2 linked regions of the Drosophila melanogaster genome follow. The protein of the gene in region 1 interacts with the protein of each later gene in a pairwise test. Each region holds a gene or a part of one and is shown on either strand. Other genes may lie near its edges.

Region 1 (11,430 bases):
TGCGCTGTGGGAGTCGGAAAATGGGAAAGCTGGCAACAGAAGGGGGTAGAGCAGCGGCCAAGAAGGAATTGGGAGTTGGGCGAAAGCAGCACCTTCAGTCGGGGCATGTTTTCGCATTTAATAAAGTATTAAGTGTTATGTTTTTGCGGTAAAGTTCTCACTCATTGAATAACACGAAATGTGTGGCAATTTGTTTGGGGCATTTACCCATTCCCAGCACACCTGGTTTAATGCGCAAATGTTGTTCCACTTAATTGTGGCTTTCCCCCGGAAATGTTCCTACTTACCAGTGGAATCAAAGTTGTATAAATGATCCTTGGCATCGCGCAGCATCTCGAACTGCTCGGGCATGATAATATCCTCCAGTTGCAGCTCCTGCAAGCTGTCATCATCGCACTCATCATACTCATCCTTCACGTTATCCAAATCGTATCGGTGGAAATCAAACTCCCGATTGCAATGTCCCACTATTTTGTCTGTCTGCATGTGAGCTAAGTATAAATTGGTATTTAGTTGTGGGAAGTTAAAGTGGCATAGAGGAGCCTTACATATCTTCTCCTGCAGGAACTCCTTGACAGGATCCAGTGGCAGTTGGTCAAAGCCATAAGTCAGGTTGTAGAAGGGGCAGTCGTTCAGCTGGCGCTTTTCGCCCTTCTTCTGAGCCTGCGACACTCTGGGCAGATGGAGAGTTCGTTTCCTCCTCAGCTTGTCATCCTGCAGCCGAGGATCACAGTATGGACGGCGCTCTGGCGCTACCTTCTTCTGCATGGCGAGGGCATGGATTGATTTGGATGATTTGGTTTGGTCAGGGGGAGAACCTCAGGGACGGTGTGCGCGTGATCCTTCCGCTGATGCTGGTTTGTTAACGAATCGTATTCAAAGCCAACACAACGAAACACGATTTCTAGTCTGCTTTCATTTGTTTCACTCTGTGCGGGGCATACTTTTCTCCGTTCTAGAAAAATGGAAAACAAAACCCGTAGCTCGGATGGCAAAAGTTTGCACAGCAGCAGTGGAAGCGAAATATTTGCGGGCCAGCGATGAACGTGAAATGTTTACAAACAAAGTCGAGGCCCAGGCATTGGGCATGGATGGCCATGGCAACGGAGGACCCGCGGGCCAGGAGCCCGGGAATCGGGGGCGTACGTGTAACCCCGGCAACCAGGACCGGCTGCAAAAGCTGCTACCGGAGCTGGAGACACCCCGACACTCCGTCAATGCTCGCCTTTCAACGTCCTCCGCTCAGCTCGATAATATTTGATATTTGTGTCTGGCGAAGGGATGGCTTCCCAGGGCATCAACTGCAGTCACAGTTGCAGGGAGAATATTGGAAAGCAAGTGCATTTTCGGACAATATGCAAAGACAGGAATTTGGATCACAATAATTTAAATATTACCTTGTTTCGAATATATCCATTTAATAATAACAAAAATATGAGGTATTTACATAATACTTTATCTGTCTGATTTTTTCTCAGTGTAGTCCAGAGCGCACGAAGCAGGCCGCGTTACCTGGCAGCTTTTCTCGAATTGTGCACACATTTTTCAATAAAGCGCTGCAACTGCAGAAAAGCTGGTCCTGGTGAAGCTACCGCTGGCATTCTGTATATTTATTATCCCAACTGTCTGGCAAAGGAGCAGCAGGACGAGCAGGACTAGCAGGAGCGCCGGGAACAACGGAAGCATCGACTCGTCATTGAACCTGATGATATGTTGACAATGATGGAAAATAATAATGCTCGACCGGGGCTCGGCGTGTTCGGAGCTCCCTAATAGGGTTGCAGCTGAAGGGGAGAATCGCATACATAATGCTACGAGGCAGCATAATCATGAGCCGATTTCACAAGGAGATCCTATTGCATTTCGGCTGCCAAAGGAATTTACTTTAACAAAGACGCTTCAAGTGGCATTGGTGTTTTGAGCGACTGAATTGCGAATAGAGCAGCAATTAATTGTGGTAAATTAATTGGAAATTTGATTAATGGTCAATTGCGGTTACCTCACCTTTGTCTTCCTTCCAGGACAACGCATTTTGGCTTTGAGAGCGCAGTAAATGCGGTTGCCACACATGCGAAAGTTAAAGGAAATCGTGTGTGTTTTAAGGTGACAAGTCGTGGGAATAGCCAGGCATGCGAAACCATCAACGCAGGCCGGGAAAAGCAGGATTCAGGTTCCCGTATGCAGGTCATCCGCCTGTCACGTGCCTAAGCGCACCGGACAACGCAATGCAGGTGCCACCGACAGGTCCTTCGGGGATCGAGGTACCTGGGTGTGGGCTTTCCAGCTGCAGTGCATCCAGAGCCATGCGTGACAAATATTTATTAACTGCCACAACTGCCGGGCATCGGCTTAGAGGATTGATCTTGGCATTAGAGAGCTAATAAAAAATTGATTCCGACTTCGTCAATTGTCACAAATAATGATTACCACGCATTTTCGAACACATTATCCTGAGGGGGGCATGACACGCATCAAATTGCATTTAGTTTGTCATTGGCCTTCTTCTGGGTGGGTTGACTTTTTTGGCTGATTGGTGGTTCGGTCTATGGGCTTTGCCAAACAAAGGGCCGTAATTCGACGGCTGTCAGTCACGTGACCTCATTGCTGAAAATACACAATGGGGAGGGACAACATCATTATTAACAAAGTCAACGAGCAGCAGAGCAACAGAAGTCCGGAGGAGCAGCATCGTTTCCAGCCTGCGAGTATGCAACACTTTTCCACCGGAACGGAAATAAGTCGAATCCAATCATACCCTAAGAAGCTTAACTTCCAGGGGACGTCGTTCTTCGCATCTCGGGTTTGAGGATGTATGAAATTGGATATTCTTTGCTCATTCACATACTCATACTCAGAAGAGGGAATAAATCATGGTAAGAGATGGCATATATCACTGCTGCTGGTGGTAAGTGGTGAACATGATAATATTGCATTGCAACTTTATCTTTAAGAACTTTAACTCTTAATAAATTCAAATTTTAAGGTAAAACTTCTTTAAAACCCCATATAACCCAAGTAGATAGAGTATAATTAAAGAACTGCCTTGTCAAGGCAAAGTTTTCCTTTTTTTTCTGCCCAGTCTCACTTTTCTTTCCCCGCTCCATTCTCCATTGTTTATTTGCCTCGATTCCGTGTTTTTTTTTCCGTTTGCTGCCATGGCGAATCGCATTTTGTCCACGTGATTAATGGGCAGCAGTAGAAGACGTCGCGACTTGAAAAATTACATTCAAAATAAACGACAGAGGCGTCGTGGTCGGCGTTTTAAAACGGCCGTCACACGTGAGGGTTGGGGGCGCAGAAAGGCAGCGGCAGGGGGTCCAAGGGCGTGAGGTGGGTGGCGAAGGATAAGGATATCTGGCAGCAAAATTCATCCTGACGCACGTAAAAGATGCAACAGGAGCAAGAGCAAACACCGTGTGATTTACACGCAACCTACGGTGGGGGTGGGGTGGAAATGAGTGAAAATGGATGGAGTTGGGTGAAAGGGTGGGGTTGGTCGGGGGTCATAGTGCAAATTAGGGGTTGACGCTGCCGTGCAGGCAACGTACTCTGTTGTCAATTGAAAACGTGCCAACAATTTGCAACGACGATTAATCGTGCGACCAAACTGGGAGTTACAATTGCCAGTGGTCCGTTGGTCCTTTGGCAGCTCCTGCTGCTGCTGCTCCTCCGCCTCCTGGTGCCAAGTGCCAAGGATCCGGTGATGTCTGGGATCGTCCTTTCACCGGCGGAACCGTACATGTTGCGACGCATTTGCAGCTCTGTTTACGACCAAGTTTGCCCTGCGTTTGACTAATTTGTGTGAACTCTATTATGCGTGACTGCAAATGGGAACGGGAATGGGACTGGGTATGAGTTTTGGGTTGGAAATCCGATGTGGCGATGTCGTTGGCGATGGCAAAGCTAAAGGTGGTCTGGAGACCAAAGACCGGACAGACGTCTGATGAGCACTTAATTCCCGGTCGCTAATTGGTTCCAAGATGAAGAAGGACACGCACCGGTGGGATGATCAAGCTCGGAAGTCAATCGATTTGCGGCATGTGAGATGGAATTGCAAGCCAGCTTAAATCACGGCTATATTTATGGTTGGTTAATTATCGGTGTTCGCTTAAACTTTAATCAATTTTTATTGCTAATATTTCTTCTCTTGCTTTATGTTATCATTAATAATGAATATAATTATGGAATGTCAAAGTGGGTAGAAGGAAAAAACTGACTGAAATACAATCGCTTTATACGGATGCAGATACAGATAGAGAGATACTGCGAACGGGACGTCATTAAAGGCTTTTGTATGCAATTACATGCCGCATTGAGCAATCATAAATTAGCTTTGCAAAAGTGCGATAAAAAATATAGCGAAATTCAATTAAATTATAAAATGTGCAAAAATTTAATGCTCATAATGAAAAGTCGGCCCAGCTCACACTCGCATTAATCATAACAATTTGCAACTTATTTTTGCATCTCTTATTTCGCATTGCTAAAAAAATTGATTGGCTACTGAAATCTGCCGACTGTATATTCATATTTGTTTTAAATGTCAACAATCATCAATGCAAATTCACTACAAATACAGCCAAGTCATTCCTGATTTATCCTCGAAATGTCGCATCAATTTCGATCGAGTGGCGTCTGCGGGAGGAAAAAAAAAGTGAATTGAAGTGGAAACCGCATCGGTGTCAAAGATAGAAAGATATGGATACCTGATAGCCTTTGCAGCGCAGCTGACCTTATAAATCATAATACAATAAATATTGATAGTAAAAGTTAAAATATCGAAGTTGTAACACAGTAAGGAAAGCAATATCAGACTATTTTGGTCTGACATATTCAAATAAAGTCCAAATCCCATTTTTGGTAGCATGTCAAATTCATTAGGCTAAAACCTTGAAATTGGGTTAAAAATTTGCATGTACATGTTGCTGTGTGTTCCTTTTTTTTTTTTTTTTTTTTTGATGTGGAAGGAAGCCAAAATTTTGTTTTGAAATTAAATTATCGGACGAGCAACTTTAAGGGTAGCGGAATAACAATTCGCTTAGCTAAGCATTTTCTGCGCTCTCCGATAAAATTTTCGACCCGGGTAAATATTTGTGCGAATTTCTGCCGGATAAACCATGAAGCCCAACTATGTGTGTCGTCTGCGAATAAATTCTGCAATGCGTAGCTCAAAATTTCCGACACTAAATTGTTATGGTTTTTAGTCTTAAAGATAAATGTACTTAGCCAAAGGACTCAGTTTCGGTGTCGGTTCATGGTAAAGTTTTGCATATGCCCGAAAATATTTACTTGTGAGCAGATTGTTTAGTTAAACCGTAAAAAGACTGGCATTTTCGGTATGGAGTTGCTTCTCTGTCGTTGCCAGAGACAATGTAACATTTAAGAAAATTTAAGCCGCAGGCGACTTAAAAGCGAGACGAGTCCCTTTCTGTCAGTGGTCCTTTTTAGCCGGGCCATATGATTTAGCCATTCTGTTGTTGTTGTGGCTGCTCGTACTGCTACCACTGCCATTGTTGGGGATTTGGCTTGCCTTTGCCTTTGGATTTTTTACTCATTGTCTTCGGAAAGCCCGAAAACAGCGAGACCAAAGTGGATGGCTGAACTAGAGGAGCAAAGCCCGGGATAGATGGATGGACAGGCAAACAATTGTTGTTTGTATCCTGGTTAGCTTTGGCCAAGGATCTGCCAGTGCTGTTCCTGCTACTCCTGCTTTTGCGGCTGCTGTACAAATTAGTTTCTAATACCTTCAAGTCAAACAGTGGACCCGGAGACCTTTGCCGCCAGGGCAAACAGACAGCCAGGCGGACAAACACAGTGGATCTGTGGATCAAATTGGGCTTGGTCAAAGTCCTGCGCCTGCCACCCCTTCATCCATTCATCCTTCGCTCCCCCTTAGGAAGTTTGCCGAATCACTTGAGCGTGTTTATGAAATAACCTTGGCTCGAGTCTATATAGTTGGTGGGCGTGTTTGTGAGCTCCGAGCCGCCTAATTACAAAACTCATCCGTTTTCAATTGATTCCATAGCAAATGGTATTTTAAATAGTTTCGCTTAGTTCTCCTTTCGGCCCCATTTAAGGTCCACTTCAAGGCATCCCCCGCTACCAGAGATTGCATAATGCTGCAGACGCTTTCCAACGAGAGAGTTGGCCCAAAAACAGAACCACAAGACCAAGACCATGTGGCGGGTTTAATGAGCTAACTGCTGATTCCTCGATTCCTCTCGCTCACCGTCATCCTCTGCTTATCTTTGGCCAAAAGTTTTTTAAATTAATTTTTAATTGTTTATGCTGCAAAAGTTTAGCTGTGTTAAAGGAGCAAAACAACGGGAAAAATAAAAGCAATTGCTGGAGCAGTTAGAAAGAGAAAATATAGATACTTTTGTTCCCGGCTTGCATTGTGTTGTCTGTGCCAGTTTCATTAAACAAATAAGGGAAATTAGCTGGTTAAAGATATAATCAACTATACAAAAGTAGTATTTACTTCTTAGGCGTTCTATAACATTACCAATTACCGATTATTTTGCAAACTTCAAAAGTAAACTTTTTCCTTTCCGATTTTTGAGAATACCCTGACCCTGTATAAGAACCATAAACGGCAGCTGTCTTTAACCAATTAACCCAGTGATCTGAGACCTTGCCTTGAGCAGAGTTCAGAGCAGATGTGAATGCAAATTTCGAGAGGTGGGCATATTATTCAGGCAATAATCGGGCCAACAAAATGTCTATTGATAACGATCGTGCATAACCGTAAAGTGGGGTGGAGAATCCATGGGTATTTCGGCGGGGCAATTAGCATAACATTGGGCCGAAAAGAGTTGATGTCGCGGTGTCAGCACTAAAAGCAAAAAAGCATAAAGCAGCGGAAAACAGAGGCAATTCCTTATAAAAGAAAATTATGCAAATTGCTAATAAATTATAGTGAGCCAGCGAACGACATGTAAAATAATAACAAGCGGACGCCGAGATGGAGATGGAGCTATGAGCTGGGAGCATTTTGGGCTGGAGGAGCGGTCGCGAATTGAATTACAAATGTAAACACAATGCCACGGGACTGGAGAGCACAGGAGGGGTCAGGACAGGAGAGGAGGAGTTCCAGGACATGCCGGAGTGCTGACAGGACGAAGGCACGGACAGTGGAACCGGCACTGCGAAATCATTAAAATAATAAAGCGCTGCGTTCGCTTTCAAGACGAGAACGACAAGGACAACGACAACGACGCGATGACGACGATGACAACAGCGGCGACAAGGACATTAACTGGCGAACGGATAATGGCGAAACTTTTTGACATTTATTGTGTTTGTGTCGAATGTTTATTTATGATTGCACGCGGCCGGAGTTCTGGCCGTATTTACATTACAATGATCAGAAGAGCATAACTAAGGGCCAACGGATCCCGTTCCTGCTTCCAGTCCCATACCCCAAAAACCCTCGAATGCCCATCCGTATCATCGGCTTGTTTGCGTATGCGAATGCGTATTAAATTAATGATACTTTCTAGTTCATAAAATTCGTTATGCCAGAGCTCCAGGCTCTGATTCTGATTCTGGTTGCGAATCTGTTTTGTGTGCGAATATCAACGTCCAACACACAAATCAAATAATCACATAAATGAGAGCACAACACAAACTCTGGCACATGCGGCGGGTGTGTCTATTGGATTGAAACAAATTGATTGTCATAAAACATCGTTTATACATATTATAATGTGTCATAGGATGTTCATGCTTCACTTCATACTTTTGGTTCGAAACCAAGCCGCCAAAAGATAAACAGTTTAGCTCCCTTAACTTGAACCACCATCTGCCACATTTTAAAATTGAGGTATAATTTTTAAGGGTGTCTTTCTTTTGAAATGTGATAGCATAACAAGAGAAATAGTTGATAGTTGATACTTTGATTAAAAGTTGGGAAAGATCAACTTATGGTAGCTTGACTGTACTTGCATCCGCATCTCGGTGGTCGGCCACGATTTCACAAGTGGCGATGTGAGTGATTGCGATAAGGACGCCGTTGTCCGGATTCGGGAGTGTTTCATTCATTTTTTTTGGCCCCTTTATGAGGGCGATAGTTCCCCTAGCAACTCCAGACGAAGTCAGAAACCCAAGGCAGGCAAAATTTATGGTTGTTTACAGCAGATTGCACACCCCATTTGCTTTGTTTTGCACTCGCTGCCACTTGACACACATTTCGGGGCACAAACTCAAGATGGCTATATGACGATGACGATGACTCTTGAAAAACCGAAAAACTTACGCAGTTTTGTCTCTTTAATTAGTCCAAGGCCGCGGGGTCGGGCGGTCCGGAACGGGGAGGAAATATTCGTTAGACCCTCGGGAGCACCAAAGTGAAAGTGCCTCCAACATCATATGCATGATTTGTGCAAAAGTTTCCCCAGCCAACTTGGAGTCCTCCGCCTGGTAACTCCTGCTCGCCCCTTTCCTGCCGCCAGCAAGCTTGTTTTGCCAAGTTTATGAATTTCATAGCCAAAGTTTTTCGGCAGCGCATAACATGCTCCCAACTTGTAAGCTGCTCCGCTGTTTTCTCGTCTTCGTCCTTTTCGCGTGCAGCATATTTTCGGCGAAATCTTTGATATCCTGGTCGCAAGGAGCAGTTAACGTTATGCGGGTCGCAGGATACACAGTTTATTATAACAGCTCTACGGACCATGAAATTCGACCATTGCACTATTAGCCATTAAGCTAAAGACTATACTCTAAAAATTTATAAATGCTACATATTACTCCAAGCTAAAAAAATAAAACGTAATTTACATGTGATTTAAACCGTTGACAATGCAACTTCCAACAACCCACAGTCCAATTAAAATAAATTTAAATCCTATATGATTCACAAAACGGAACCAATTAAAACCAATTCGAAAACTTATCAGCGAAACCCATTAAACAAATACGTCGTGCTGCCCGTGCGACCTTTTGCCAACCATCAATCTTGAGCGGTTCGTTGAACTCCAAAACCGAGTAGTACGCAAATTACCGATAGCCACTTGAGAAATTAACGTTCGAAACTATTAATAACGTTCGAAATAAATTAATAAATACGTATGCGTATGCTGCCATTAAAGTGAACACCATGGAAAACCATTGTGATTTTGCATTAGATCTTGTTAAGAGCACCGATGCTCGCTCTTGACCGTGAAGCTGTATCTTAAGCCAAAGCAATAGCCATCGAATTCGATCCAAGTGGCGAACGACAAACGAAAGCGAAACGCAGAGCATTTAGTTCCGCACTGGGCAATCTTTGGGCAACTCCTATCCACTATGGGATACATGTTATTCATGTTGGTTGTGGTATAAAATACATTTTTCTTTGCTTTCTGTTATGTCTAAATCCTTTTGGATTCAATGTTTCCAAAAAGGGAGTTTGGGATTATAACATTTCTACATTATATAGATAACTAAAGCATCTATAATATATAATATTTAAATTTTATCTAATTGGATAGTTGTTTATCAAACACTTTGGTTTATTTTACCCACTGTGCTCTGTAAGCGAACCGGCTCCCAGCTGGGCTTAATCTCCACGTGAAGACGAAGCTGGGAGACGGTGACGGGGGCACTTGAGGGCTCGAGTGGCGCATGTTGGGTCTTTGGCCAAATTCATTGCTTTGTTACCGATTCGGAGTCGGTTTCGATTTCGGTTTTGGTTTCCGCCGCTGTTTGCCGGCAAACAGAGCGTCGATCATTGTTTGAATGGAAGCTGGCAAACATTGGAGCGTATAAATATGCGGACAAATTGCGACGATTAATCATTCGACCCATAGATTCCATCGTCAAAGCAATTAGCTTGGAGATCTATAGCAAGATGGTGAATATTCCAGCAGCAAGGATACCTTCCCTCCAGGATTATCTAACCTAACACTTTATATACACTCACATTGCAGAAACTTTTCTTAGCCTGCATCTTTATTGCCGCCGCGACGGCTGCAGTGATTCCTGTCGAACAAGCCAGGCACCGTCGTGACGTCTCCGAGATCGTGAACGAGTACATCCCGCCGGCGGAGGAAGTTGGAGCAGAGCTGGCCCAAGACCCCGCCGCCCTGGGAGATGATGGATACCGCTACAAGACCGTGCGCCGATTGAAGCTCCGTCAACGTCGTGATGTTTCCGAAATCGCTAACGAATACCTGCCACCCACTGAGGAGGTTGTTGCTGATGCCCCAGTTGAGGAGGTTCCAGTTGAGGAAGCTAGCCAGGACTCCGCTGTCCTTGCCGCCGATGGATACCAGTACAAGACTGTCCGTCGCCTGAAGTACCGCCAGCGTCGTGATGTTTCTGATATCGCCAACGAATACCTGCCACCCACTGAGGAGGTTGTTGCTGATGCCCCAGTTGAGGAGGTTCCAGTTGAGGAAGCTAGCCAGGACTCCGCCGTCCTCGCCGCCGATGGATACAAGTACAAGACTGTCCGTCGCCTGAAGTACCGCCAGCGTCGTGATGTTTCTGAGATCGCCAACGAATACCTGCCACCCACTGAGGAGGTTGTTGCTGATACCCCAGTTGAGGAGGTTCCAGTTGAGGAAGCTAGCCAGGACTCCGCCGTCCTCGCCGCCGATGGATACAAGTACAAGACTGTCCGTCGCCTGAAGTACCGCCAGCGTCGTGATGTTTCTGAGATCGCCAACGAATACCTGCCACCCACTGAGGATGCCGCCACCGAAGCCCCCATTGAGGAAGCTCCTGTTGAGGAAGCCAGCCAGGACTCCGCTGTCCTTGCCGCCGATGGATACCAGTACAAGACTGTCCGTCGCCTGAAGTACCGCCAGCGACGTGATGTTTCTGAGATCGCCAACGAATACCTGCCACCCACTGAGGAGGTTGTTGCTGATGCCCCAGTTGAGGAGGTTCCAGTTGAGGAAGCTAGCCAGGACTCCGCCGTCCTCGCCGCCGATGGATACAAGTACAAGACTGTCCGTCGCCTGAAGTACCGCCAGCGTCGTGATGTTTCTGAGATCGCCAACGAATACCTGCCACCCACTGAGGAGGTTGTTGCTGATGCCCCAGTTGAGGAGGTTCCAGTTGAGGAAGCTAGCCAGGACTCCGCTGTCCTTGCCGCCGATGGATACCAGTACAAGACTGTCCGTCGCCTGAAGTACCGCCAGCGTCGTGATGTTTCTGAGATCGCCAACGAATACCTGCCACCCACTGAGGAGGTTGTTGCTGATGCCCCAGTTGAGGAGGTTCCAGTTGAGGAAGCTAGCCAGGACTCCGCCGTCCTCGCCGCCGATGGATACAAGTACAAGACTGTCCGTCGCCTGAAGTACCGCCAGCGTCGTGATGTTTCTGAGATCGCCAACGAATACCTGCCACCCACTGAGGAGGTTGTTGCTGATGCCCCAGTTGAGGAGGTTCCAGTTGAGGAAGCTAGCCAGGACTCCGCTGTCCTCGCCGCCGATGGATACCAGTACA
Region 2 (11,732 bases), on another chromosome or scaffold:
TGGTGCTGCTATATCCTCCATTCGCAGCAGGTGCCACCTCGGGCAGCGGACTCTTGGAGCGATCCTTAATGTACTCGTCCTTCCAGAACGTGTTCTTCTCCACGGGCGGTGCCACCTTGCGCAGTGCAGCCATGGGATTTGGCGGTATCTTGATCTCCGGCCGGAATCCCAGTGGTGGTGGCTCAAAACGCTGTGGAGTTGGCGATTTGCGCGCCGTAGCCGGGGAACCAGGGGCACTTAGGCGCCCAGTGGGTGGCGCTAATGTGCTGGGTTGTTGTGGGGGTGGTGGTGGGGGTGCGGCGCTAGCACCTTGGGTGCCATTCTTACCCGACTGTGGTTGCGGCGGCGGTGGTGGCGGCGGCAGCACCTGGAACGGCATGCCCATGGCAGCGGCTCCAATCGAACTGGCTGCACCACCTGGCCCACCTGGCGACTGTGGCTGGGCGGGTCTGTTCTGTTGGGCGGCTCCGGTTGCTCCTTCCGATTGGGCATTGCGCGCCAACCGCTTGGCCATCCGCTCCGACCGGATCTGGGAGAGATCAATGCCGCCGGGCGTGTAGGTGAAGGGCTTCTTGTCTTTTGTCATCATCGCGTTCTGCACGCACGCGGGCGCCTCGTAGCCACCGTTTCCGGATCCGCCTCCTCCGCGCTGTCCATACCTGCAGGAAAACAAAGTTCAAATCTCTGTAAACCACTTAATAATTCAACCAAAGAAGAATAATATTTTGTTTAACCAGTACTTAGACAATATATATATCATTAAATCATTTAATTTAAATATTTCCGAATTTCATTCAAGATTATCGTTGTTTCTGTATAAGATGAGCTACTGAAAATCCTAAAAATCTGTTCAATATGTGTAAGTATAATCTTATTAATTATTAAACAGGAAAAGTAAAGATGAAATAAAGATAAAGATAAAGATATCATGATAACGATAAGTTCGTTGGATTATGATAATTATTATTAATACAATGCAAAGGCTTTCAAACAGGTATATGCATTAACAATACTTTAATCTTTTAGTTAACGTTGGTATTATTTTTTTCGCAACCCAGCTGTCATGTTAATCTGACTTCCTCTCCAATTTGCATGGGCTATTTATCATAATTTTTGTTAAATCTTTTCTAATTTATTATTTCGCTCTTGGTCGCCGGCAAAAGCACCCATTTGTATTGTTTTCCTTTCTTCGCAGCTGCTGCGACTCATTAGTCGATCATCGATAGTTCAACGAGCCAATGTTTTGATTTTTTTAACGATCAAAAGGGGGAAAGTGAGTTCAAGTTGTTACGGACGACCGACCATAAAAGGTGAGACGTCCGATGAAGTGCCAAATTTGAAAGGTTGAAAGTGAGAAGTTATTGTGGTATCATGACTATAAGAAGGTCTATTGAAGAAATTGGCTGCATTAGTTTCATTGTAATAAATTTGTAAGACATAACATGAGTAATGGGGAATTAAAGACTTAATAGTTAATCTATCTAGCTGATCTAAGATTTCTGGCTTCCCTCAGAGTATCTACGTAAAATAATGTTTGTAAAGATTAGTTGATTTAATGCCTATTTAGGCTTGTGAAAATTTCCCATTTGCACTTTCTCAGTCCCGTTGAATATGTCTTCATGTACGAGCATCCCACTTCCCAGTCAACGTCGAATTTTCTCCGCATAATTTGCTTATTTTAAATGCGTTAAACGTTAACAATTCGCTAATTAAAAGCGAAAATCGAAGAGGTTCGGCGACAATATACGTTCTCGTTAACGTTGGCTCCACCAGAAAGCCCGTTTATGCCGAAAGAAAGTGATGGAGTTCGGGATCGGGTTCTGAAAAGTTGTCAGGCCCGTTTGACATGAGCTTGGTGTGCGTGGATGATACGCATCCAAGTGGGTCAGGCGAACAGGAACAGGTGATCAGGTCTGCCTGGCAGTTGTTCCATAAAGTTGACACGGCCAAAACTCTGCGGTCTCGCCAAATAATTAAGAAAATAAAACTAAGTAAACAAGGCACCCTACTCTGGAAACCGCAAATGCGAAGGCCAAGTTGTGTGGGAAAACGGTTGCGAAACTCACCCACAACTGGCTTACATGCAAATTGGAGCGCGTGCATCAAAGTCAAATGCAAATGACGTAACTCCCTGCGGTTAGTGACAGAAAATCGTATTTAAATCGAATCGAGTCGCAACAAAACAAATCTTTAATTATTCCCATATTTGGGATGGTCGAAGAAATGCTGTCAGCTCCTTATAGACATGGCATGGTGGATATAATAAACTATGGATACATATGCCCAGTCAGGTTGGGCATCAACTTTTTGTTGAACTTGCCATTGATTATGTGCGAATTAATAGCATCAACAGCTTCCATAATTGTCGAGGCGTGCCCAAAATTGTGAGGTCGTTCAGTTCAGATCGGTCTATTCCCCGTTTATTGACTCGATCGGTCGATCGATGCTTTATGGCCGGATAGGAAATGCAACTTACACAACCGTTTTGTTAACTGTTTTTTCTGTATGAAACATTCGACCGCTGCCATATTGGGCTGGGCTATAAAAGTTATTAAACACCGTGACAAGCCTGGAAAAATGTCAGCTTAATGCACTAAACATTTCCTGAACCAACGAAAGCAATGTAAATACCCATTCATTGTTCTCAATTCCAATGATCGTCACGCACAGTGAACTAAAAAATGCGTTGCCAAAATTTTCGAAAAACAAAAGAATCGTTAAAAACTAAAAGATACACGCGCTGAAATCACAGATGTCCCCTGATGACGTCAATTGGCGGGGACATGGCGTCAGTACTTGGTACTTGGGGCTGCGGATAAGAAGCAATTGACCACAAGACAAGACCACCAACTGTTTGCTAGCCACTGACAGATTTGGCAATTAAAATGTCAGAGCACCAGGAAAAAGTTTCAAGGAACCGGGAAGAAATAACCAATAAACTGGCATACAAAGTTCGCCTATAATCATAATGCAACATGACTAATTTACTGGCACAAGCATGCACATATTCTTTGTGAATCATATGCATATGCGTTGCACATGCACTTAGCCTTAAGTAAACATACATTTCTAAAAATAAATGTAAATCCATTTTACCGACTAATGACTGGGCTTTATGATTTGCCAAAAATACATGTAAAATAGTCGCAGCTGTTCATGCGTGAGTTAAAAACATGCAATAATAACACAAGCAATCACAATTTCAAATTTAAATGATAGAAAAACATCTGTGCAATTCGCATTTTCACTTTTCTAATTTGTTGTTGTGTGCTTGACTTTTATTTTGCCTTTTCGCATGCAAATGAGCGTGCAGAAATGTATCTAAAGGCATTTGCAACTAACTGGCAACCGGGTGGATCCACAAGATACGGGTGATGTCTTCTGGAAAGCACTGGAAACCGGATTGATGAACTAGTTGGTATCCCTTATATAGCCATATTTTGTTTATGAGATGTTTATACGAGAGCTTATTGTGTTATTTGGATTAATATTATTATGTATATATTGTGCATTATGTGATCATACATTTAATATAACGTTTAATTTATTCAATTTATTTATTGAATTTATATTTTTGATTCTTTTTAGTCCAGTTCCATCATATCCCCTACTACCCTCTAGTAAAAGCAAACTAGTTGCCTAGAAGAATCTGCAGTTGCAGCTGGCCGCGCATATTTCAAGATCAAGGGCAGCCAGCAGAAGTAGAAGAAGAAGTAAGAACTTGAAAGCTGCCACATGCAACATGACATAATGATAGTCATTGTCCGCCCGTCTTGGCTATAAATAGCTTGGCTCTGAAGTCGGAGATCGGAAGATCGTTCGTACAGGGTGCTCCCTCCAGCCGCCCACATTCCGCAGTTGAGCTAATCTAGCGATAAATATTTACTTGGAAATTGCTCTTGCTCTGGCATTTTAGCTTTAGAAAATTTAGCTATATATTTATATAAATACAAATATATAGATATACTCGTAGCGGACTTACGACAATTCCAGGCCGTTGCGATTGGCATCCCCGTTCACGGGCAGCTCCGACAACTGAAATCCGCGATCCTGACGAACCATATATGCGGGCAGAGTGTCGATGATGGCATTGGCCTTATCATTATAAGAACCAAGTAGTTCCCGATATTTGGAGTACACTACGCGCTTCAGCTGCGGATTCTTGGATGACACGGAGGCGTTTGATGGCGACGGCGACGGAGATTGCAGCGTTGAGGTGGCCATTGCTCGCGGACTCTTGTTTACTTGTTTTAATACTTTTATACTAATTTATTTTTGTTGTACACTATTTTATCTGAATTTTGCTTTTACACTTGCATAGCACGAAAGTGGGTCGACTATCTTTAAAGCGGACCTCTATCTGCGAATGGGTACAAGCAAGTGGGTTTAAAGAAAGCCCAAAGCAAATTTTTTCCACATCATATATAAAACTATTAGGGCTACGCCGTAGTTCCTTCTGCTTTCTTTGCTGTCCAGATCTGTTTTGAATCGCTTTAGAAGTTAAACAATTGAAATGAAAATATTTGCAACCCATTTGCCAGGTTGCAAGTGCGCTTATCAGTAAATGTGCGCAGAACAAAGAGTTACAATTCAAGCAGCCAAGTACAATGGGTTGTACAATCGATTTACATTTGGCCGATCAGGGGACATGCAAACAAAGGTGCTGTATTGGAGCCTAGGTGGTCGAATGACTCAACCATCGATTGTGGGAATTGAATTTAACCTTTTTTGACAAGGGGCAGCCGACAAATGGTCTGCTGACTCACATCGGCGGAGAAGAATCACTGAAATTTTTGGGGGAACCTATAACAGAATCACTACTATGTGGACCAGCCGTTTTCCGTCTCGCAGAGATACGCTTACGCAGTTGAATTATTTTTAGGCATGAGCTAAAGTTGCTCCGAATTAAGATGGCATTTGCCCGGCCTTTCTGTTAGTATCCGACTTTAATCACTCACTCACTCACTAATTATTAAATTGAAAACACACGCGCTGCGCACAAAAAGTATCTCGTAGGTTCGTTTTTTTTATCTGTATCTGAGGAGCGCACTGGGCGACTGATCGCAGCGGACTCTCGAGACGCATTGAAGTCGGGTTCGGTTCGCCGGAGGTTGGACGGCACATCTGAGTTGGCTTGTTCGGCAACTTGTTGCAGATACATTTCCAGTCGCTTTGATGGTATTGGTGGTGCCGCAAAAGGAAAATCGATCGCTTGACAAACGGCCGACTGGCACGCGGACTGTATAGCAATTTATTTGTCTGTCAATGCAGTTCGATGATGGCGACAAATTTCCAGCTAAACGCCAAAAAGACTTTGCGACGCTTTCGTTTATCTGTATCTGGTATCTTTCGGCTGTATCTGCATCTCTTATCGTGCTACTAATTGTTTTCACTCTACTGTCATGTCGTCTGCTTATTACTTCTGTCGCTTTTCACGATTAAGCCAAATCGAAAGAACGGGTATCTCCCACTTCGGCATTATCTTTAGTTCGGGGGATTTCTTTATCGAATCTGCGCACTCGGCTTGCTCTAATTAACTCATTTGAACAATCATCTGCGGAAATGTGGCCCACTAGCCTTGACAGACAAATAAGATGTTATCTTTTCTGCTGTTTTTTTCTTTCAGTCTTATTTTCATTTTTTGCGACTGCTTTGTGCACAGTTAAATAATAATTGGCAAGAAAGCGTTAAGGAATTTAAAACGCGGAATGACTGGGCTAAAATCATTTTCTTTTGTCGCTCGACATCCACAATTTGTACGAAGTAAAAAACTTAAAATGCCACAAAGAAGGGGAAAGTCAAGAGACAACATCGGCAAACGATTATTGTGGATAGTTCTGGTCATCTACTTTCATTTGATCCCATTATATAGTTTTAACCATGAGCAAGAAAAGTATTTTTGTGTAGCTTTAATAATTTAACTGAACCATATCGACATTTTGGAATATCGAGCAGTTGACTGTAAATAAGTATATAATGAATGTATTTTTAGTATTGGATAATATAATCAACTCCATAAATTCCCTTAAAAGCTAAAGTCACTTTTTAGGAAATATGATTAGCCAAGCGTTTCCTTTCAAGTCACTGACATTTCATAGACATTACCAGATTTCTCAGTTTAATTTCTTAACGAATACTTGGAGAAATACCATTTATCCAGTTCAGAAACTATGGTAAGTTAAAACAAATGCAAGAAAAGCCGCGTGAACTGACCGTTCCATAAAATCTCAACCCCAAGTACCAACGATTCGCCAATTTGAATCTGGAGGCCCTCTATGGAATTCCGGCTATGTGTCCAGTGACCAATTGCCAGGCGCAGATGTCGCCACTCGAGATGCTGGCCCATCTGATGATGCGGCACAGTCCGCAGGACTCGATGATCGAGATTGCTGAGGACGTGCCCAAGCAGTACGAAGTGGATATTGATAAATTGACACCGGGTCGAAATCATTCGATTGGAGTCATCGCCTATGAGGGAGCCCCAAAGCCGGGTCTTAGTTGTGCTGTTACTTCGGATCTGCAGATTGTCCACCATCTGCCCATTATCCTGATGCTCTATGTGAGCCCTCCTATTCTGAACACCGAGCAGGCCTACATCTTATACCTGGTGAGTGCTGTGCCCTCCAGTCTGGTGAGTGCCAATGTAACACTCCTCGACGGATTCCATGCCCACGAGAAGCGCGGATGGCGTTGCCTGCGCAATTCCCTGGACAGTCCATTGATGGATAGTCAGAATCGGCTGTATTGCAACACGGACTACCTCCTGTACACGGCCACCGACATTCGGGAGCTGTGCCTCTCCGGAGAGCAGCGTAGGATCTTCGTCAAGATCGTGCTACACGGCGAGCCCGATCCCTTCCAAGTGGACGCCTAGCAAAAGGTGTCCGGACGAGTGACTCATTTGGTTCAATAAACACTTAAGTGCTGCGCCGCCAATTGACGCACACTTGAAATTCGAGTGGCTGTCAATAATATTCGTTCCTCAAAGAACTGTCAGTGAAATTGGTTTCCCTATTCATTCAATATTTCTGCTTTGGCTGGCCAGAAACTGGGTCAGACAGAGATATTTGGTTTTGTGCAGACATCAATCATGGGGGCCATCTAATTAGTTAGCCACAGGCCTCTGATTGCGGAAAATACTAGAGTCATTTCTTCTGACCGTGAAGAATGGGATTTTTAATTATGTGTTAAATGTTGCTGTGCTCTTTTTGAAAAAAACAATTTCGTTTGATTTTCTCTTTTCACTTTCGTTTCATTTTGTGACCCACTTAGTTGCAGTAGGTTCTTAAATGCAATAGCTTTTTAAAACGATTTTATAAACAATATAGCTAAACATTAAAATAAATGTATTTTTTAGCAAAGTATAAAACATAAGCAAATGCTTAGATCAACGCCTTTAGGTCTAGCGGTTAATCTCATAAATTATCCGAAACTATATAGAAATTAAAGAAACGCAAGAAACATAAACACCTACAAACACACAGATGCGATGCTATTTATAAGAAACTTAATTTTGCAAACATAAAACGAAAGAAAATTTATACCCCATTAAATACGAAACGATCTCTCACGGAAAAGTAAAAGGAAAAACAAAGATGGATAATCCAATAAAAATTAGCGTTTCACCAACAACACCCACAGCCCAGAAGACACAAGCGTGTATAAAACTATAATATTTCTGGCTTTTTTTTTGTTGTATCTGACCTTGAAAAATTATCTGAACGGCGGCGAAAAAAGTTTTACGTACGAAAAAAAAAAACAAAAATCAAAGAAAAACAAACGCAATCAGGGAAGCCATTCATCACTTTCTACGGCCACTTGAGTGTGCAACTCGTTTTGCATTTGTCATTTAGCTGCGTTGATTGCATGACATGAGCACATCAGACAGGGAGCCGTTGGGTTTGCGATTGGGATTGGGATTGGGATTGGGAGTGGGTCTGGCTCTTGTCGGTACTCGCAATTATTTATATTAATCTGGCCTGGGTCAACGTCAGCGAACCCAGGTGAAAGCGAAAACGCAGACTCTGCCCCAAAAGCCCGTTGCACAATCGATGGCGGTAATATTTCTCATTCAGTTGCCTTGCGGAATATATGCGCATACAAACGCGAATTTCTGTGTATTTTTCCTACCATGACCACATGTCGTCATTCACCGTCGGTCGTTTTTGGTCAGATAGGCAACCAAATCCCGCCAGCGCCTTTTTTTTCGATTTTTAACTTTTTTCCTGCAGCTCGAATTTGGTGCTGGTTGAAAAATTGCCATGTTATTGATTTGTAAAAAATGAAAAAAAAAAATTAAATATAGCCGCGCCATGAAAATTCGATATTTGTTTGTGGAGAAAGTGTGAAGGAATAAATCACGCACAGCAAAGCCATTTTCCGGGAAAACAAATAAATAGTAAAAATCATGGAAAAATCTGAGCAATAGTTCTTATAAAATTCCCCAAAACAAAATGTAAATTTAAACGTAAGCATAATTCAATAAATAATTAAATTGCAGAAATTGTTCTTTACGTTTGACTGCGAATTAATTGTGAACTTTCCCTTAATTAATTTTAATTCAGAGTGTATTGCTGAAGAGAAGTCATAAAGGCAAAGTGAATCATTGAATCAACTATCATGGGAACGATCTAGGTACATTCACATCGCTGTCCAATAATCAATTCCCAATGCTGTTGAACTGTCATCTGGGTGTGGCTTTATATCTTGTGCCTTATCCACTTGGGAATCTTCCTTTGAGTTTAGTACCCTATTTCGCATACAAATTTCACGGTCAACTGCGACCAACTTGAACTTGGGACAAGAAATCTGTTTACGTATTTTACAAATGCAAAAATTTATAAAATAAATAAACTCACACCTGATTTACGCAATCAACAAAAGTGAAAAATAAACCGACAAAGAAGTGTGAAAATAATTGTCGTTGACAAAAATCAAAGTCATGTTCGGCAATGCATCACAGTCTCGGGCATTAAAATGCGAATAATAATTTAAGCTAAAATAAACATTAACACTTTAAAACCATGTACATGGTCAATATTTGTCCCAAGTTCACACGTAAATTTTGTAAGTACCTATAGTCAAGATATTACAAGATATATATTTCATTTATATGTTAAACGTGGCGTATACTTGATGCTTTGCCGAAAGTTTGACGATGGAATTTGTCTAAACTTCAGAAAGTAGAATATAAACAATGAAAATTATGAAAATCTGAAATTTAATATCGAATAGAGGTCCTAGTGCTTCTTATTTTTTTCTTCTAATGCTTGACCCAATTTTGTCAATATATTATCGCAGATTTCCGTGGGAGCTGAAAATTTATGCGCCACACATCAACGTCAACGGCGAAATGCAAAAAAAATGTGCTGTCTGAGGAACGGGAAAAAAATAAATAAAACAAATGCATTTTATGCCAAATTCCTGGCTTTTTTGCTGTGAAAGGCTCTTGAGAATGTGTTTTATGATGTGCGTGGCTTCGAAGGAAACTTCCGGTGAATGCCGTCAGCCGTCTAAATACCCAACACGTGTGCCAATTGCTTCTAGACAAAGCCAAAAGACAGCTGCTGGCCGTGTCTAAGACACAAAACTGTGCACCAGCGAGATGTTGTTGAAAAATGGGAAATTTAATTAATTAATTCGCTTAGGAAAGCAGGGGAAAACACCGAAAGTGTCGCCTGCCAAAAAGCGCGTGCAACATGGGACTAGCCAAAAAAAAAAAAATAATAAAGAGATTCTAGTGTGGGCGTGGGCCATCGATGGCCTTCAAAAAACTCATGTGTGAGCCTTAATTGTAGCGGAGATCATAAAGATGTTCAGACTATAGATATATACGTATAGGCCCATACAGCTGTGGTCAGAATAATAGTGGTGAGCAAAAGACGCATAAAGTGCCTAAAAAGACTTCTCATAAAGCCAACTTTTAAAAGAACACAAGCCAATAAAAGCGTTTTAAAATATTTTTCATAATTCTACATAATCTTTCCCTTGTTTTGCCGTTCTATTGAAATAGTCAGCAGTAGAAAAATTATGAAACTTTCGATTGAACTATTTTTTTTTCGCAGTATTACGAAGTCAGCGGCCATATATTAAATTCTGTTTTAAGTACATCTGTTTTATGTTTTGTTCTTTTTTTTTGACTTTCCCCGGTAGAAATCGGGTGTAGTTTAAAATAGCTTATGACTATTAGACAGTTTCTTTTTGCTTAAAAGATTACTGTTGCACTAAAGTAACTTTAATTTGCACCACGTTTTTGTTCTTACCCAGAACTCATTTTAGCCGCTTTTTATGTATTTCAAGTTCAACTTCAGAACACTTTTACACACCGCCTACACACAGCCGCCAGTCGGAAGAAATCGCGATATTTAGATTTGGTCGTAGGCGTTGGTTTTCACCAAAACGCACGCAAGTTCTACGAAAAGATTTTGCAAACGACGCCTATGCACACAAAAACACTGAAAAATTTATGGAAAATTATTATTAAATTATGAATATTAAGCCGAAAATTATTTTGCATCAAAAATCACGCGTTCTTATATAATTTGCGGCACGGACACAAGCGATCCACTCGGAAATAGTTTTTCCCACAATTATATACATATACATATACTATATTGTGTTCAATATCGTGTTGATTTTCATATATACAGATAAGTTAGTTTCGCTAAGAACTTAGGGTTTTGCACTGTTTTTAAAACTATGAAACCCTTTTCACCAACGTTCGTTTCGATATTTTGTAATTTGCTATTTATAAAACGCGGCACGACGCATTGCTCACTTTTGCTAGAGAAAATACTCGTATCTATATCTATATATATTCGTATATATAGACAGCCCAGCTAGATGGTATAGATATATCTATGTGTTAGTTTCTAGTTGAAAATTTCTTTATTTCGGATGGTTTTCTCGTTTGCAACGCGTTCAAGTTAGCAGCCCAAGTCGCACTGAATTCGCACACGAAATTTTCTCGGCCGAAAAGCCGAAAAGCACATTTCACATTTCGAAATAAATGCTCCTTCGTCTTCAGTACATATTCTATTCGACCATCGGTCATGTCCGTGTCCATATCAGTGCGATTGTAGTGGTCACAATGCGATTGTGTGCGTACACATGTGAGCATGTGTAAAGTGCGTCTGCTCGGAAAATTCTGTGAATTTTGAGTTTATTTAAATGAAAGAAATCTAAAAGTTGAGAAAGCCCGCGGACGTTCGTACTTATTGTTTTCCTCTTTTCCGATCCACACAATAATTCTAATAATGTATTTACACCCAGGGCCGATCATCGGCGAGTTAATGCGCAATGCACTTAAATAAATTATTGATACTCCCACATCTCACACTTGGCTGATTCTCAGATTTTGATCGGCAGTGCACTTTTATTGATCGAATTGGGACACATTTCTCAATGTTCATAGTTTTGTAATGTTTTGGCAAGATATTGAGTGAAATTTAAATTTTATAGTTTTTTTTTATTTATTGAGTGGTAAAGCAGAAAATAAGAAACTGCATTCCACCATTAAAGAGTTGGCTCCAAAGAAACAAACAAAAGTGCTCCGACACAATGTGAATGATTCCATTTGGTCGTTTTGGTCGCGCCTTCTGGCCAAATCTTATGATAAATCATTATAAATCACATATGCTTGGAAAATAAATAACACAAAACGGCCGCTAAAAAAACAGTCAGTGTGTATATGTAAATTTATGTATGTCTTCTAAAGAAGGGAAAAAGAGCGA

What was found.
Region 2: the proteins of CG32235 (region 1) and CG31848 interact in a two-hybrid assay, tested with the Drosophila melanogaster proteins (one large-scale study listed by BioGRID).

The regions. Positions count from the first base shown.
Region 1 is NT_037436.4:4,850,798-4,862,227, reverse strand, and holds CG32235 (uncharacterized protein), read left to right. Parts: upstream 1-1,757; 5' UTR 1,758-1,957; intron 1,958-2,021; 5' UTR 2,022-2,129; coding exon 2,130-2,381; 3' UTR 2,382-2,418; downstream 2,419-11,430. Other genes in the region: Dnah3 (dynein, axonemal, heavy chain 3), read right to left, coding at 288-491, 549-768; CG32237 (uncharacterized protein), read left to right, coding at 9,827-9,829, 9,906-11,430.
Region 2 is NT_033779.5:13,260,223-13,271,954, reverse strand, and holds CG31848 (uncharacterized protein), read left to right. Parts: upstream 1-6,078; 5' UTR 6,079-6,170; coding exon 6,171-6,173; intron 6,174-6,238; coding exon 6,239-6,874; 3' UTR 6,875-6,959; downstream 6,960-11,732. Other genes in the region: CG44085 (uncharacterized protein), read right to left, coding at 328-659, 3,983-4,224.